2 linked regions of the Cricetulus griseus genome follow. The protein of the gene in region 2 interacts with the protein of the main gene of each other region in a pairwise test. Links are inferred from orthologs where the notes say so. Each region holds a gene or a part of one and is shown on either strand. Other genes may lie near its edges.

Evidence for each region.
Region 1: the proteins of Cd63 (region 2) and Timp1 interact in binary tests that used the Homo sapiens proteins (3 or more experiments, as listed by UniProt). The link is inferred for Cricetulus griseus from reciprocal best matches to the Homo sapiens genes CD63 and TIMP1.

What each region holds. Positions count from the first base shown.
Region 1 is NC_048604.1:125,720,468-125,729,218, reverse strand, and holds the start of Timp1 (metalloproteinase inhibitor 1), read right to left. Parts: upstream 4,767-8,751; 5' UTR 4,611-4,766; intron 3,758-4,610; exon of another isoform or gene 3,755-3,757; 5' UTR 3,747-3,754; coding exon 3,626-3,746; intron 1,599-3,625; coding exon 1,522-1,598; intron 1,273-1,521; coding exon 1,146-1,272; intron 951-1,145; coding exon 826-950; intron 124-825; coding exon 1-123. Other genes in the region: Syn1 (synapsin-1), read left to right, coding at 8,734-8,751. UniProt on the Homo sapiens protein: Metalloproteinase inhibitor that functions by forming one to one complexes with target metalloproteinases, such as collagenases, and irreversibly inactivates them by binding to their catalytic zinc cofactor.
Region 2 is NW_023276806.1:129,014,199-129,022,949, reverse strand, and holds Cd63 (CD63 antigen), read left to right. Parts: upstream 1-4,218; 5' UTR 4,219-4,243; intron 4,244-4,379; exon of another isoform or gene 4,380-4,488; intron 4,489-4,958; 5' UTR 4,959-4,969; coding exon 4,970-5,035; intron 5,036-6,137; coding exon 6,138-6,326; intron 6,327-6,489; coding exon 6,490-6,564; intron 6,565-6,658; coding exon 6,659-6,754; intron 6,755-6,857; coding exon 6,858-6,998; intron 6,999-7,189; coding exon 7,190-7,273; intron 7,274-7,411; coding exon 7,412-7,477; 3' UTR 7,478-7,571; downstream 7,572-8,751. Other genes in the region: Rdh5 (retinol dehydrogenase 5), read right to left, coding at 8,465-8,688. UniProt on the Homo sapiens protein: Functions as a cell surface receptor for TIMP1 and plays a role in the activation of cellular signaling cascades. Plays a role in the activation of ITGB1 and integrin signaling, leading to the activation of AKT, FAK/PTK2 and MAP kinases.

The sequences.
Region 1 (8,751 bases), on a different chromosome or scaffold from region 2:
CCGAGGCAAGCAGGCAAAGTTACGGCTCTGGTAGCCCTTCTCAGAGCCCGTGAGGATCTGATCTGTCCACAAGCAATGAGTATCACTCTCCAGTTTGCAAGGCATGGTTGAACAGGGAAACACCTGGAAGATGAGAGAAAGGTCCACTCTGGGGGCTTCTTCTTCCCCTGTTCCCTCCCCTATGGAGAGTGTTCCACTCTCCTTCTGGCAACACAGAGCAGCTGGGAAGGCTTGACATTGCCCCACCTGTGTTTAGACCCGAGAACAGCTTCTCCCATTTGGGGAACAGAAAGCCAGTGTTCTGGAATGGTGGGTAGGAAACTATCTCTTGAAGTCACTCAGGCAGGCCTCACAGGGCAGAGAACTGAGTAGAGGGTAACAGTTGGCATGCAGAGAGGTTAAGCATAAGAATAGGCAACGGGGCTCTCAGACAGTGACTGAGGTCAGAGGATATTTATTGCTGTCAGGGAACAGTTTTGAAATAGCCAGGTCGACATATCCCTGTGGATTTGGAAAATCACACGTTGAATTCTTGCAGAACATGCCTGGGAAGCCAAACCCAATCTTGGGAGATCAGAAACAGACAGCAGTATTTCAGAGTAGACACAAAAGAAAAGTTAGAGAGGCAGAGAAGGTTCAGGGAACATGCAGTCCCAAGATAATAGAACAACCAGTATCTCCAAAAGAGCAGGTTTGGGACAACAAGAGAAATTAAAGGCAGTGGTTGGGTTTGGGAAGCAGCTACAATAACAAAGAATAGCCAGAGGGAAAAAGAAACCGTTCCAGGTATTATCTCCAGAAAGAGAGCTGGTTCTAGGAACTTACTGTGCACACCCCACAGCCAGCACTATACGTCTTTGAGAAGGCTTTTTGCTGAGCAGGGGTCAGGCTATACCAGGGAACCAAGAAGCTGCAGGCACTGATGTGCAAACTTCCATTCCTTAGGCGTCCTGTAAGGGAATGGAGAAACCAACAGGCTTTTGATTGGCCGGGTGGTGCTGGGGTTACCTGATTAGCATTAGTTTACAAACCTTCCCGCCCCCATTTCAACCAGGTCCTTTCCCTTTAGAGCCTCGCTCCTCCCAGTTGCCAGGAAGCATCTGAGGATGAAGGGGTGTGGCCCAAAGCGAAGGGGCGGGCCTCACCCGCGATGAGAAACTCCTCGCTGCGGTTCTGGGACTTGTGGACATATCCGCAGAGGCTCTCAAGGGCTGGGGTGTAGGCGAACCGGAAATCTGCGGCATTTCCCACAGCGTCGAATCCTTTGAGCATCTGCCCATGAGTGACAAAAAGTCTATCTTTTACTGATTTAATCCTCCCACTCCATTACCTCTTAACCTGATGTCATATATCTAAATCACAAAATTATGGGAAACGTCCACACCAACCAAAGGCTAGATGCTAGTATTTTGAGGAGGAGGAAGAGGTTAATATGGCTATGGAGGGAGACAGGGAAAGAGGAGGGAGGGAGAGAGGGAGAGAAGGAGGGAGGAAGGGAGGGAGGGAGGAAGGAAGGAATACCTTAGTCATCTTGATCTCATAACGTTGGTATAAGTTGAAAATGATTTCTGGGGGCCCCATGAATTTAGCCCTTATGACTAGAAAGGAAGGGGAAAATAAGGAGTTAAGTGAGCAGCATGAACCCATAACAGCAAAACATATATACAAGCATAATTCTAATAGAGACAGCACACTTAATGGTTTCCATGTTTCCATGTCTGTTGATTGATTCATCTATACATTGTCTACTCTTCCAGGTACTGTTTTAAGCACTTTTCATATATCCATCTGTTGGCTTTCTCAACAAATATTTTGGAGTGCCTGATATATGCAGCCACTGTTCAGGGTGTTAGGGACACAACAGTGACCCAAACACAGGAATCCATTTCCTTGTGGATCTCACATTCAAGCCAGGAGGATATAACTAAAATTAAGTAGCCAGGCATGGTGGCACAAACCTGTAACCCCAGCTCTGTCAAGGTGATGAAGGAGGACCACTACAGTGTGAGTTCAAGACCAGTCTAGACAATTTAGTGAGACCCTGTTTTAAAATGAAATTCACAAAAGGGTTGGGTTTGTACCTCAATTTGCTTAGCATATGAAAAGTCCTAGGTTCAATCCCCAGTATGGAGAAAAAGGTATATGGATTGTTAAAGGCTGTTAAGTATGATGGAGAATTAGAAAAGGGAGGAGATTGACACATATTCTTTGCTTGACCACAATTTACTCAGGCTCATTAACCTTCTTCCAAGCTTATAAGTGCAGTTTCTCTTAAAAATGCAGTTGTAGATGCCAGGTGGTGGTGGTTCACACCTTTAATACCAGCAATCGGGAGGCAGAGGCAAGCAGATCTCTGTGAATTTGAGGCAAGCCTGGTCTACAGATAGGAGTTCCAGGACTGCCAGGGATGTTACACAGATAAGCCCTGTCTCGAAAAACCAAAAAAAAAAAAAAAAGAAAAGAAAAGAAAAGAAAAAGAAAAAGAAAAATCCACTTGTACCAAAGTATACTAAATCAGTTTAGTGAAAAACCCACCCTCATCTGACTCTCCTCGATATGTGAAGGGGCTCCATATTTTCCACTGACCATCAGGTGATTACACTGGCCAGTTCTCAGCAAGAGTCCTGAACTGGGTATGGTGGCACAGGCCTGTAATCTCGGCACTTGGAAGGCTGAGTGAGGAGGATGAAGGGTTCAAAGCCAGCCTGGGCTACATAGTGAGACCTACTCTCAAAAAAGTGAGCTCATGGGCTCGAGAGATGTCTTAATGGTTCAGAACACTTGCTGCTCTTCTAGAGAACCCAAGTTTGATTCCCAGCATCCACATAGCATGGCTCACAACCACTTGTAACTCCAGCTCCAGGGGATCTGATGCCTTCTGGATTCCACAGGCACCTGCACACCACACATGGTGCACACACACATAGACATAAATAAAAATAAACCTTTTTGTTTTTTTTTTTCGAGACAGGGTTTCTCTGTGTAGCTTTGGAGCCTATCCTGGCACTCACTCTGGAGACCAGGCTGACCTCGAACTCACAGAGATCAGCCTGCCTCTGCCTCCTGAGTGCTGGGATCAAAGGCGTGTGCCACCGACGCCCAGCAAAAATAAATCTTTTTTTAAAAAATGGGCTTAGCCTGAATCTTTTTACTCCTTGCCTGTGATATTTCTTCTCAGTGATTTCCCAGTCACCAATCCCTAAACTGTTCCTTGGCTGTAGAGTTCCATTTGCCTATGCTATGTTGAGAGTTAAGCCCAATCTCTCTCCCTGACTGAAAAATCTGATTGCCATGGTCCTGAATAAAGTCTGCCTTTCTGTGCCCTAAGAAGTGTAATTCACAGTTTTATTTAACAGGGAATCAGATGTACTATATGGCAGGGATTAAAATTTAAACAAAGTAGACAGGCACCCCAGTAAGATGACTCTTGAGGTAGCCACCCATGTGAATAACTACAGAGAAATATCTACCTGGGAGGGAACAGCCAACACAAAGGTGGGCTTAGGCCTAAGGATGTCAATATGGCCAAAGTGGATCTATGCAAGGGTAAGTACAACTGTTGTAGAGATAACTGCCATCATGAGCCCTATTGGACTAAGAGGCACAGAAAGGGGGCTAGACTCACCCAGGTCGGAGTTGCAGAAGGCTGTCTGTGGGTGGGGTGGGGCACAGCTACAGGCCTTGCTGGAGGTTATCAGTGATAGCAACAAGAGGATGCCTGAGGCCAGAGATGCAAAGGGGGCCATAGTGGTATCTGCTGGGAGAGACAAGGTAGTAGTTGATCCCCAGCCCAACTGATCTGTTTACCCATTGGCCCTAGGGAGATTAGGGAACCCTGAGAATCTTAAGGGGTGAGAAACCTGGAGAGGTTTAGGGGCTTAAACAGTTGGGAAAGTTTTGGGTTTTATTGAGTTCCAGTGATTTAGGAGACAGTGAATAGGAAGATAATGGAGTTGTGGCAGTTGATGAGTCCAGGAGCTGAGAAGTTTGAGAATTTAGTGGAGTTGGAGAAGTCTGGAGACTGACATTTGTGGAGTCAAGAATTTGGGGTTTGGGAAACTGGAGAAGTATAAGGGGAGGCTGGGAGCTGAGGGAGATTAAGATATAATGGGCATGGGGATTTGTGGCTACTAAGGGTTTTAGAGGAGGTTTGGGATTTTAGGAAACTGGGGGAAATTTAGGGGTTATGGGGTCTGGGGGAATTTGGGAGTTTAAGGTAATGGGAGTGTTGAGGAATTTGAAGGCAGAAGAACTTTTGAAGTTCCAGGAGCTGGACATGGCAAAGTTTGAGGGCAGGGGGAGTTAAGGGAGCTATAGGGGTTTGGGGGAACAATGAAAAATTCAGAGGAGTTGGCAAGTTGGGAGGTCTTTAAGGCATTAGAGGCTTGTGGGTTTGGAGCACTTGGGGATGAATGCTAGGGGCATGAGGGAGTCCGGAGAGTCTAGCTTGGGATACTCATTCCAAAAACCTTCCCTTCGTATTCCCCCTTGGCCAAATAGAGGTCTTGATACCTGCAAGCCCAGTCAAGCAGCTAGTCTGGCAGGGAACCGGATGTGCCTGGTGGTCGCACCAACACAGGCTCCAGCCAGGACACCCGGCTCCCACTTACCTCTGGTGTCTCTCTAGAAGCCCGATCTGCGGCGATGGCGGCAGGGACTGAGCGGTGAAGAATAAATGTCCATGCAAGGGGCGGAGTTGGCGCGGAAATCACAGCCTCCAGGCTTCCTGGACGCATTACTCATCCACCCACCGCAGGAATCGAAGCCTAGGGGCGGGCCGGAGGACCGGCCTAAAGATACTCCCTCCACTGCCAGCCAGCCCACTGTGCCCCTTCCCCCCAGCTCCACGTCACTCGCATTCCTCCCTGGCGGCCTTGAAGGGGAAATGGAAAGGCAGCCCAAGCCCCCACAGCCCTGTGCTTATCCAGTTCCCTACATTCCCCAAACTTCCTATGGCTGAAGCCAATGGCTTCATTCCTGCGCCTTAGTACATCTACTTTGTTGCAAGGCCGGCTTTCCTAGTGGACCTGGCGTTTTTGTTGAGGGGTGGCAGAGGGGAAGACAAACTAGAAAAAGAGTTGAGGGCCATGAGATGGGAGAAGAGACACAAATACATAGTGAGGAAATTGATTCACCGAGAGTGTCTGTTATTTTTTGAAGATGGCAGTTAAGTGTGTCAGAACTGGGAGAGGAACTGAGGTGGCCTGCAGATAGAGCTTAGGTGGTAACCTATCCCCAAAAGTTTGCTGTGGTTGTACACATGAGTGAGCCTAGAACTTAGGATGTTTGAAGATAGTCTGTGCTACGAGAGACCCTGTCTTAAGCAGAAACAAAATCAAGCAGGCAAATAGCTGAAGTGAAGAACTTTGCCAGGGTCACAGAACAAAACTGGGATTTAAACCTGGGCTTCTTGACACTGAGATCCTCACTCAGGCGGAGCCCAATCTTGGCAACCAGGGAATAGTGTGGTGAGAATGGGGGGAGTGAGGGTGTGGATGATGGTGAAAGAAGCTAGTGAGTCAGTAGAAAACCCATCCCCACCCCATCCTGCCCAGCTCCTTTCCCACCAACCAGCCCACATCCCTGGTGGGGTGGGATGAGGCAACTACTGCCCACCCGCTTCCTGATGATGCAGGGATATTCTCTGGGGTCGTGTGGAAGGTTCTATGGGATGATTAACACCCTCAATTAATCCAGGCAGGGTAGACCAATAGTAATGACAATGGCTGTAATCCCAGCAGGCAAGTGGATCCGGAGAGTTTGAGGATAGCCTGGTCTACATAGTGAGTTCCAGGACAGCCTGGAACATACATAGTGAGACCTTGTCACACACACACACACACACACACACACACACACACACACACACACACACACACACACACAAAATGATAATGATAGTGATGACAGCAGCTACTTGGTTGAGCACTTACTGTGTACTATTGCTAAGATCTTTGTGTACAGTCATTTTAGCTAATTAAATTTTGTTAATTTAGATTAGCTCAATAACCACAGCATACAAAAACCTACTGCCAGCACTCAACAGAACCCTCACCATATACAAAAGATTTCTTATATTTATTCAGTGTGTGTGTGTGTGTGTGTGTGTGTGTGTGTGTGTGTGTGTAGCTGTACTCATGCTTGTATTGCTCTCCACCTGCAGGAGCCAGTCCTCTCCTTCCCTACGAACTCACACTCAGGTTGTCAGGCAGCAAGCACTGGATTTTTTGTTCCTTCATTTGCTATTGTCCTCATTCTCCCTTAATGTCAATTAATGAAGAGTTGTCAAATCAGTAATAACAGCGATAATAGTAACCAGCACTTTGAAGATTCGGGTTTACTTTATGTGTATACTAAGATTTTTTCCCCTCTGAAGTAATTGATTTATTCTTCCCAACATGCCTGTGAGTTACAATTCATATTTTCATTATTTAATGAGAAAATAGAGACAGAAAGGGGTCAAATGGCCTGTCCAGGAATGATAGTGAAGAAATCACTGTGGTGGGGAGGTAGGGATACAAAGAAAGGAACAAAGGAAAGGAAACCAAAATTCTCAACTGTCTGATTGTGAAAGTGAGGAGTGAGAGTAGATGAGACAGGGCTGAGTAAGTAGGTGGCGGGACTGAGGAGAAGTAAAGAGAGGGAAAGTCCAGTCTCTCCTCTATGACCCTGCTTCTGACACCAGCTCTTTATAAAACCTGAGTCAGCCCACTTTTGCCAACTGGTTACATGTGAGGATTTTGATTGTTGTGCAGGTTTGAAATGCAGTGGGGTGGATGTCAAGGTGTTTGGCTTGTCTCTATCTGGGGAACTGGGTAAGTGTGAGGAATTCACTGGCATGTGCAAATACCTGATGATCCCCAAGAAAGTGTTAAGTGCTTGGTCTTGATTATACCTTTTGTGCAGATCAGGAAACTGAGGCCCAGAGAGATGGTATCTACCCGGGATCTCACCCGGCCTTAGGAAGAAGGCCAAGATAGCAGGTTACGGCTCTCCAGGAAATCCCAAGCCCTCTGTATGTACATATGACAGACAGACACACTTACATGCACACACAGCACTGTGTTCAAGCTCAGGAACAGAGGAAACAAAGTTGGTTTATAAAAAGGATCCAGAAAGCTCAGCAAGTAGAAGTAGGTATGCTTGCATGTGCACAGCTCTCTGGTGTGTCTGTGCCTCTGTGACTGGCATGTGTCCCTTGGTGGGCTCAATTTCCCTTCCTGAGAGCCAGGCATATATCTAAGGGTGTTTCTTCTGAGAGTTGAAGGTTGCAAATATAACTGTGCATGCCTCATACTTCTCTGTGTGATGAGTAGACGCCTGAGTGGGAGATCTCTCTCTTCTCACACGCAACACATACCTTGGCATTGTTTCTTTGGCCTGCTGCCTGGATGACACCCTTACCGCCATCCCCCTTTCCAAACCCATGCCACTCAGCCCTCCCCCCATCCTCATGACGACACACATTTGGGAAATGAGGGAGGAGGAAGTTGTAGAGGGAGGGAGAGACCTGAAGGTCAATCAGTCACCCTTAGACTATGGGGCTTCCTGTGCTTCTTGGGAACTGCCACTGCCCAGGAACCCCTCTAAGAATGCATTCCCTGCCCTGTCAGTAGGAGGCAGGGGCTCTGAATTTATACACGGGATATGATGGGGCTAGGGTCCTCTAATCTGGTCCCTTCTACCCAGCCCAGGTTATAGGGAAACTTAACACATCTTTACCTAACTCATAATTGTCTGCATTTATGTCCACACCCAGGAGTGTTGTCTGTGTGTTTGATTTTCTGTATGTTTGTGTCATAGATATGGAAAAATAATTTTGCATCAAGATATACTTTTCATGGACCCAGGAATGTAATGAGGTCTGAGTTATAGGAATTTGGTTATGGAAATGCCTAAACGTGCACACACGTTCTGCATGTTGTTTTGATCCTTCTGTTCATTGTGGACATGCTGGGGAGTGATGCATATGTCCATTTATTGTGTGCTTCTAGCGTTGTGTGTGCTTCTATACTGAATGAGTGGCTCTTTCTGTTAGGTAGGTGTGAGCAAGGGGAGGGAGCTCATGTGTGTGCTCCAAGGTGCCGATTGTAGGTCTTAGGAGTGTGAAGAGCATGCTGTTCGGGCGTGCTCACATGCTAAGAGCAAGTGAGCTGACTGACTGGATTTCTTCGAAGCCCCCGATGTGATTTAAGCCTGTGGTGGTCTTTCTCAATGCATATGGACTTCTCAATAGATGTGGACACCTCTGACTTTGGCTGGGTAATCTCACTTTTGAAGGGATGTGTGTGTGTGTGTGTGTGTGTGTGTGTGTGTGTGTGTGTGTGTGTGTGTACATAAAGATGAAACTTACATGCAAGGCTTGACTGAAGACATTCTGCATGCTAACTACCACACCTTCATACACACACTCACTCCAATAGCTAATCATCATAAAAACAAACTTTCTTTTCTGGGAAATTCCCTCACCCTTATCTAAGGCCTCTGGCTGGGAAGCAGATATGGATAGTCTAGGACTTAGAGAGCAGAGTAAGTGACTGGCAGGCAGTTTTCTGCAATCTGGGCTCAGAGTCGCTGTGAAACTATTGACTGCAGTTCCGCCTGTCTCTGACCAACCTCTTTCTGGGGGTGGGGGGAATGGCAACCAGTGTAGCTCACATTCTATGGGTCACCAACTCTTGGAGGTCAGCACTACTGCTCTGACTATGCCTCTTCTGCCTTCATCTTCACTAGCTCAGCAGCACAACATAC
Region 2 (8,751 bases):
TCCTTGCTCACCCATTTATAGATGAATTAAACAATTCTTCAGAAACAGGGTCTTTTTTGTTGTTGTTGTTGTTTTGTTTTTGGTTTTTCGAGATAGGGTTTCTCTGTGGCTTTGGAGGCTGTCCTGGAACTAGCTCTTGTAGACCAGGCTGGTTTCGAACTTAGAGATCCACCTGCCTCTGCCTCCCGAGTGCTGGGATTAAAGGTGTGCACCGCCACTGCCCGGCCAGAAACAGGGTCTTGACATGATGTCTAGACTGGCTCTGAACTACTAAGTCAGGTGATTCCCCAGTAACATGGACACTCCAGCTTTTGTCTCTAGGCTGTTCCTTGTCTCCTGAGTTTCAAACCCCACTTCTGGTAGGATGTAGCCATCCGGATGCCAGTCTGGAGCTTCCTACGTTAGATGGCCATCTCCTTTCCTGACTGATGCCCGTCTTCTCTCTCTTGTGGATGATGGCTGTCATCTCAGTGTCTTCCATGTGTCCATTCATTTAGTGTAAGCCCAGGATAGTGCCACCTTCTTAAAAGCTTCCCCTTACCTTCCTTCCCATCACTGATGCCATTGGGACATATCCAAAGAGGCCCTGGGTAATGGAAGTCACCATCCTAGTATTAGTCACCTGTCACCTTCATTCATTGTTCCAAAGCCCCCAAACACAGCACAGGCATGACAAGGCACCATTCAATATTTCAGTATGTATCTTTAAAGACTTAGACTGGCTTTTCTGCATTATCACATCACTATCAAAGCCAACAAATTTTATTTTGTAGTCTTTTTGCATTGATAGAGATGGAACCCAGGGCCTTGAATATGATAAACAAGTGTCCTACCACTGAGACACTTCCTCCAAACCTAATAACTACTGTTGTCTCTAATTCTTACTCCCCATCCCTGAAGCGGAGAGTTCTCCCTTTATTCATCAGGAGGATACTACTCACCTCTGAGGAACCCACTCCCTCCCTGATCTCTCGAGACTCACCAGGAGTTTCTGCCCTCCTTCCTGTGCACAGAACATGGCTCTGCCTTCTGGCGGAGGACAGAACCACTCTCTTTCTCTCCTGGCTGCCCTGTGCCCAGTACAGGCCTGGCATCTAGCAGAAGCACAATAAGAAAACTCATGAATACTGTGTTCTTAGGCATCCTGACTCCTCCTCCATATCCTGCCATGATAAGGGAGAGCCACAAATGTGCCTGGTGTATTCTCCCTTCCGGGAAGGCGTAACTCTGCCAGCCCAGACCATCGCCTTATCTTTGCATTTTCTTTCATAGGAGATTTCCATTGTGTGGGAAGTGAAGTAAACCCCAGGTGAATGCATGAGGAGCAGATGAAGTCCTGAGTAACGAGAGCAGCCACGTTAAAGATCCCAATGGCGAAGACACACAGGAATCAGCAAAGCTTCCCCCCTTGTCAGGCTCAGGGAATCCCTGTGTGACTGCTGACCGAGTTCACAGAGAGCATCAAACAGCAGCTTCCTCCTACCTGATGTTCACAGCCTGAGACTGCTCCCCTACAGGCAGCCCCCGCCCCCAGCCTCACGTCACTACACACAGTAAATGTGCATTGCGTACCGGTGTGTCTCAGTCAGAGAGTACATGTGCCCCACCTGATCCCAGCTTTCCAGTACACGTGTCCTTTCTTCATTCCCTCATTATCCCAGTCAGGTCTCCAGGACTCAAGCAGTGCTGGATGAGGCGACATTATTAGGGGTTTTCATTATGACCATTCTTTCTTTTCTCTTTTGATTTTTTCAAGGCAGGGGTTCTCTGTGTAGCTTTGGTTATCTTGGAACTTACTCTGCAGACGAGGCTGGCCTCGAATGCAGAGATCCATCCGCCTGCCTCTGTCTCCCTGGGATCAAAGGTGTATGCCACCATTGCCTGCCTAGCTTTATGGCATTCCCATACATAAATATTTACCTCTGTTATTTCCCTCCCTTTTGATGTTTTATTGGTGTTTTGCCTGCATATATGTCTGTGTGAGGGTGGCGGATCCTTGAGTTACAGACAGTTGTGAGCTGCCATGTGGGTGCTGGGGATTGAACCTGAGTCCTCTGGAAGAGTAGTCAGTGCTCTTAACCATTGAGCCATCTCTGCCACCCCCCCCCCCGTTATTCCCTTTTTATTCATCCTGTTTTCTTTTCCCTTCCATACTCCTAACAGTAATCCTGCATTTACTTTCATGTCCGCTTAAAAATCCAGAGTTTACATAAGAGAAAACATGTGATGCCTGTGTTTGTGAGACTGGGTTTCACTTAACATGATGGTCTTTTTTTTTTTTTTTTTTTTTTTTTTGTTTGAGACAGTGTTTCTTTGTGTGACATCCTTGACTGTCCAGGAACTCGCTCTGTAGACCAGGCTGTCCTGGAACTCACAGAAAGCCTGCCTCTGCCTCCCAAGTGCAGAGATTAAAGGTGTGTGCCACCACCACCAGGCCAAGGTCTATTTCCATGCATATTGCCTCTCTCTGTTATGTGTGGTGTATGTCTACGTGCCAGTGCGAAGTCAGGAAAGGATGCTGGGTGTTGTGGAATATTGTTTTAAAATGTGCTACATTTGTTTATGTTGTGGGATATTTGTTTAATGACGCAAAGGTGTGTTGCATTCTTTTATGTCACATTTGTCTAACTCTGTGAAGCCATGATTCTTTGCCTGTCTAAAACACCTGAAGGTCTAATAAAGAGCTGAATGGCCAATAGCGAGGCAGGAGAAAGGATAGGCAGGGCTGGAAGGCAGAGAGAATAAATAGGAGGAGAAATCTGGGAAGATGGAAGATTCAGGAACAGAAAGAGGAGAGAGGACTCCAGGGGCCAGCCACCCAGCTACGCAGAAAGCTACAGAGTAAGAAGAAAGGTATACAGAAAAGTAAAAGCCTGAAGGCAAAAGACAGACAGGGTAATTTAAGAAATTCAAAACCTTTCTGAATTTAGTGAGAGACACACACACACTCTAGAGGTAGAAACAAGCCAAGCTAAGGCCGGGCATTCATAAGAAGGGATGTCTTCATGTATTTATTTGGGAGCTGGGTTATGGGCACCCAAAGAGCAAAGAGTAAAGAATAATAATAATTAAAAAAAAGAACTACATTTTGACACTCAACATGGGGCCTAAGGAAGCCTTTAATCCCAGCGCTCAGGAGCCAGGGGCAGAGGCACACGGATCTGAGTTCAAGGCCAACCTGCTCTACAGAGTTCCAGGATAGCCAGGGCTACACAGAGAAACCCTGTCTTGAAAAACAAAACACCAAAGATTTAAAAGCGCTAGGATTACAGATGTGCTACGAGGCTGGCCCTTGGTTCTAAATGTTTCTTCCCTTCAGACTCCGCAAGCAACTCTCAGAAGGAGCTGTCGTGAAAAGGACTGAGCTCAGGCTAGGACTGTAAAGGCTGGTTCCGTTTTAGCGGTTCACAACACCTCTGTCTGGGAACCATCAGTGGCACAAGGGAGGGAGGTGTTTCTAGCTCCTGCCTTCACCTGGCTTTCACTTCCTTCCTTCCTTCTTCCCTCCCCCTCCTCCACTTCTTTTTTTGAGACAGGGTTTCTCTGTATTGATTTGGAGGCTGTCCTGGAACTCACTCTGTAGACCAGGCGGACCTCTAACTCACAGAGATCCGCCTGCCTCTGCCTCCGGAGTGCTGGGATTAAAGCGGGGGTGGCTTTGTCACTTCTAATGGGAAGAGGAATAAGATGAGGGAGGAAGTCTACTCGATAAAAGCCTTGCTAGCCTTAGTGTCCCTTCTCACAACTCAGGAGCTAGGGAGCACAGGCGCAGGCGTTGTTAATCTTTTACCAGAAGGAGGGCCCCAGGCTCTGACGTCTTCTAAGTGACATGGAATAGGGCTTCCTCCGGTTTGCTCAGTCCAGGAGTCCCAGGAAATGGAGAAGCTGGGGCCAGAAAACCCTAGTCTAGAATGTTGGCTGACTCCTAGGACGTGCAGCCAGGGACTTTTTGAAAGTGTTTATTCTGGCCCCACCCAATTCCATCCAGTCCCCAGCTGTCTGCGGGCTCGGGGATGGGGGCGGGAGGTGCACGGTTCTCGGTGGGTGCGTTGAGGTCTGCAGAAGACCCTTTTGACGCTTGCTCTATCTCTGCTTCTGGGCAACCCTGGGCCGCCCCTTCGTCCTCCGGGAACGCAATCGCCTGCTCAGCGTTCCCGAACCAGAGAGAACCGGACGGCGCCGGGTTCCAGTAAGGGCCCCGGGAGCCCTGAGGTCCCGCTAGTTCCTGGCTCGAACTTTCCAGGTAGAGGCCACGTGGCCTCGCCCGGGCGGGGGGCTCGCCTTCCCCCCACCCTTCCTCGTGAGCCCCGGTGACTCAGGCCGCAGCTGTTCCCGCGTCACATGAGGGAGGCTGGCGGCCACCCCGCGGGGGAGGGGGCTGGCTGGAGCCGGGGCGGGGCCGCGCGGCAGGCGGGGCGCGAGCAGGGGGCGCGGGGGACGGCGGCTGGAGCGCGGCTGGAGAGCGTCGGGAGACGTCGGGGAGCGCAGGTGAGGCTGGGGCTGGCGCGTGCCGGGGGACCCCGGGGGCGCCCGCGGGCACCGGGCCCCAGCCGCCAGAGAGCAGCCCCCGCGCACCGCGCACGGCGCTCGCCCCCGGGCCGGCCCTCGAGCAACTTGGCCTCGAAGTTCGCGACGCCCGCGGGACGCTAGGCACGCCGCGCCGCCCCCGGGGCCCCGGAGGGGGGTCGGGGTCTGCGCTGAGCCCGGCCGGCCGCGCCCTGGGTGCGTCCCGGGATCCAGAGGCTGCGAGCCCGCGCCCCCACCCCTGTCCAGCAGCAGCCACCGCCGCCGCCGCCGCGGGGTGGAGGGGGCAGGGAGACGTGGACCTGACCGCGGGTTTCCGGGTGGGAAGGGCCGCGATGGGGGCCGCGCAGGGAAGGCTGCGAGGGCCGGCGGCGAGCTGCGGAGCCGGTGCCCCCCTCTTCCTGTTCTCATCCCCGTGCTTTCCGCGGCCCCAGGCCCAGCAGCCATGGCGGTGGAAGGAGGAATGAAGTGTGTCAAGTTTCTGCTCTACGTTCTCCTGCTGGCCTTTTGCGTGAGTGGTGGGGGGAAGAGGGACAGAGGGACGGGGCACGCCGGCGGGGTGCGGGAGCCGTGAGGGGTGAGGGACCCAGGAGTGAAGGCAGCTGGAGGCCAGATGTGGAAGGAAAGCCCCAAGAAAGGGCCAGAGGCAGAACGCACCCGGTTCCCTCCCTCTCTCCCTCCCTCCCTCCGGCTTTCCCGGACATCGGAGGAGAGTTTGGGCAGAGAATGGCCACCCTAGATAGGCAGCACCCCCATCCAACCCCCTCCTGGCCCTTCCTGTCTGGTGACCCAACCATTTGTGATATGGGGTAGTGGGGCAACCTGCCAACGGTCTTGATGGTATCGCCGCCATGGGGCTACCCCCACTCTCCACCCGATTTATTCATCTCTATCCTCTCGTCCAGTTGTGGAAGAAAGGGCTCTGCCCACCTTTTCTTGCTCCTGCCCCGAGAAGCTAGTGTTTGTTCTGAGAGGGGCCACTCTTACCCGCCTCCCTCCTCCCTGGCCTATAGTCACTGGAGTGAGGGGGCAGTTCTGAGAGAGTCTTTAGAAAGTAATGAGTATTCAGTTTAAAGGAAGACATGACACCCGATTCCTCTCTCCCTGAGTGTCTCCAACAACTTCCCAGCCTTCACTGTGGGGCAAGGATGGGCAGACATATTTCTTTTCTTTTCTTTTTTTTTTTTTTTTCAGTTTTTCGAGACAGGGTTTCTCTGTGTAGCTTTGGAGCCTATCCTGGCACTTGCTCTGGAGACCAGGCTGGCCTCGAACTCACAGAGATCCGCCTGCCTCTGCCTCCCGAGTGCTGGGATTAAAGGCATGCGCCACCAACACCCGGCTGCAGACATATTTCTTTACAGTCAGTGGATCTTGGAGGTGTTAGGAATCTCTTTTCTGGGCCAGGCGGTAGCCCCTGCCTTTAATCCCAGCACTGGGGAGGCAGGGGCAGGCAGATCTCTGTGAGTTCAAGGTCAACCTGGTCTATAGAGCTACCTCCAGGACAGCCAGAGCTATTACACAGAGAAACGTTGTCTCCAAAACACCAGGGGTGGGGGTCAGGTGTGAGGGCTATTCGACTGAGGATCTGATCAAACCCTCACTTTTCCCCTCAGGCCTGTGCAGTGGCATTGATTGCCATTGGTGTAGCAGTTCAGGTTGTTTTGAATCAGACCATCACCCGTGAGACTACGCCTGGCTCCCTGTTGCCTGTGGTCATCATTGCAGTGGGCGCCTTCCTCTTCCTGGTAGCCTTTGTGGGCTGCTGTGGGGCCTGCAAGGAGAACTACTGTCTTATGATTACAGTGAGTGGGGTGCAGGAGAGCAGGACTCCTGGGACTACCAGAGGGCATTTTTGTGGGGAGGTGGGTGGGCGAGGAACACAAGGAGTGTCTCCGGATTGAGTGGAGCAGAGCAAGCCCTTTAAATGCAGACTTCAAACCCAACTCCTGTCCTGTGCTCCTACAGTTTGCCATCTTCCTGTCTCTTATCATGCTAGTGGAGGTGGCTGTAGCCATTGCCGGCTATGTGTTTAGAGACAAGGTAAGTGGGGAGTAAGGGGAACCCTGTCTCTGCGGGCTATTCTGGGGCTCCAGGGCCTGAATTTGCTCTCAACAACCTGCTTCTCTACTTTTAGGTGAAGTCAGAGTTTAATAAGAACTTCCGGCAGCAGATGCAAAATTACCTTAAAGACAACAAGACGGCCTTAGTTCTGGACGGATGGCAGAAGGAAGTGAGTGGGAAGGTTGGGAGGAGGGGTGGTGGGGATTGAAGATTCTCATCTCTGAATTAAAGTGGGGTTTCGATTTAGCAACCTTCCCTCCTCACTCTCCTAGTTTGAGTGCTGTGGAGCTAACAACTACACAGATTGGGAGAACATCACTGGTATGCCTAAGGACCGAGTCCCTGATTCCTGCTGCATCAACATCACTGTGGGCTGTGGAATTGATTTCAAGGAAAACAAGATCCATACTCAGGTAGGGAGAAGACATTAGACTAGGGAAACCTGGGAAATGTTTCAGGAGACAGGAGAGATGCTAATGGAATCAGGGTTGGGGATGAGATCTGGGGAGAAGGGGCTGGGAGGAGGAGACAGTCTGGAAGAGAGGTGGGGAGGGAGGTAGGAAGTTTCTTTCTGTTGGTATCCATGCTTGCCTCTTCCCTTCAGGGCTGCGTGGAGAATATAGGGGTCTGGCTGAGGAAGAATGTATTGCTGGTGGCTGCAGCAGCCCTGGGCATTGCTTTTGTGGAGGTAAGAAATGCTGTGGGTTGGGGCGATCCAGACCATCTGGGGAGCAGGCGGGGCTGGCCTGGGAAGAACGGCCCTTGGACGGGTCTGGGGAAGCTTGCCCTGCCTCCTCTCCATCCTCGTTCCCATCTTTCCTTGTAGATCCTGGGAATAATCTTCTCTTGCTGTCTGGTGAAAAGTATCCGAAGTGGCTATGAAGTAATGTAGGGGGCGGGTCTGATCTCTTCCGTCTTTTCATCTAAGGGAATGGATTCTCCAGGTTTTTCAATTAAACGGATTATTTTTTCAGACCTAAAAAGGAGATGGTCTCAGTTTATCTTAGAATGATGATGGCCCCTTCCTTTTCCTTCTCCCTACCCCTGCCCTGGGAATAGGCAGGCCATTTAGGGGGAGTTTGGGAAAGGGGTATTTTGTTGGTGTTGGCTGGGTTGGCAGTGGGAGAAGTGGGGGATCAAGGAGGATGTGTCCGAGTGCCCTCCCTGACCCCTGGTTTTGTGTACCTTCAGTGTTCTTGGAGTATGTGTTGAGGCCATCTCCTGCGTAAGTCAGAGGGTTTTCCCACAAAGGACCTACGTGGTAAAGCCTGACCCATGTCTATTTTGGCCTCCTGGTGCCTTGAGGGCCCGCAAACTCCTTCCCCCTCAGTCCTCAAGGAGACCTGGCGACTGTCAGAATGGTTATGTTGCTTAAGATCTGTGTGGCCAGTGTCCTTGATCCTTGCCTTAGGTAATGGGAATTTACGTATTTCCTTCTTCCATGGAAGCCTCCGGCTTTGACCATTTTCATCCCCAGAAACATTAGATTATGCCTTGCCAGGTGCAAACGAACTCTCACTACTCTATGTAGAAAAAGCAGACAAAAGTGCCCTCCGGTGGCCATCTCTCCAAGTGCAGCTTCAAAAAACATCTCTAAGTGCAAGGTAGTTCCTTACACCCCCCAGTGGACAACAGAAGTTTTGCAGGCACTAAAGAAGCCTGAGAGTTCCAGCCCTAGGGAGCTTTGGGATTTTAGAAATCTTAGAAATTTTGTCAGGCTCTCACAGGTACCTTCATTTCTGTTCACCTACTTTTTCTTTTAAAGCAATACATATTTATTGAGAGCTGACTTTGTGCCAGGAACCAGGCAGCACCAGAGAGTGGAGACAGAGATAAATGTTTTGCCCTTCAAAATCGGCCTCTTGCTGGAAAGCTGGAATCAGTAGATTGACTGGGCAGGCTGGGGAAGGACCCAAGTGAGCACAGCATCCACCAGGCTGGCTGGAAGGTAGGAGGCCGGCAGCCAGAGCAGCTTGGCATCCCAGCCTGGGCTGTAGCGGGTTCGGGGGTGACGAGCAGTCAGGGCATGCTCCAGGCAGCTGGTCACCTTCGTTAGGTCTGGGTCACAGATCAGGTTCATGATGCGACGCTGAACTTGGAGATCTGTATCTTAGGAGATGCATCGTTAGCGTGCACGTGGTCCCTGCCTCCCCTCCATCCCATCTT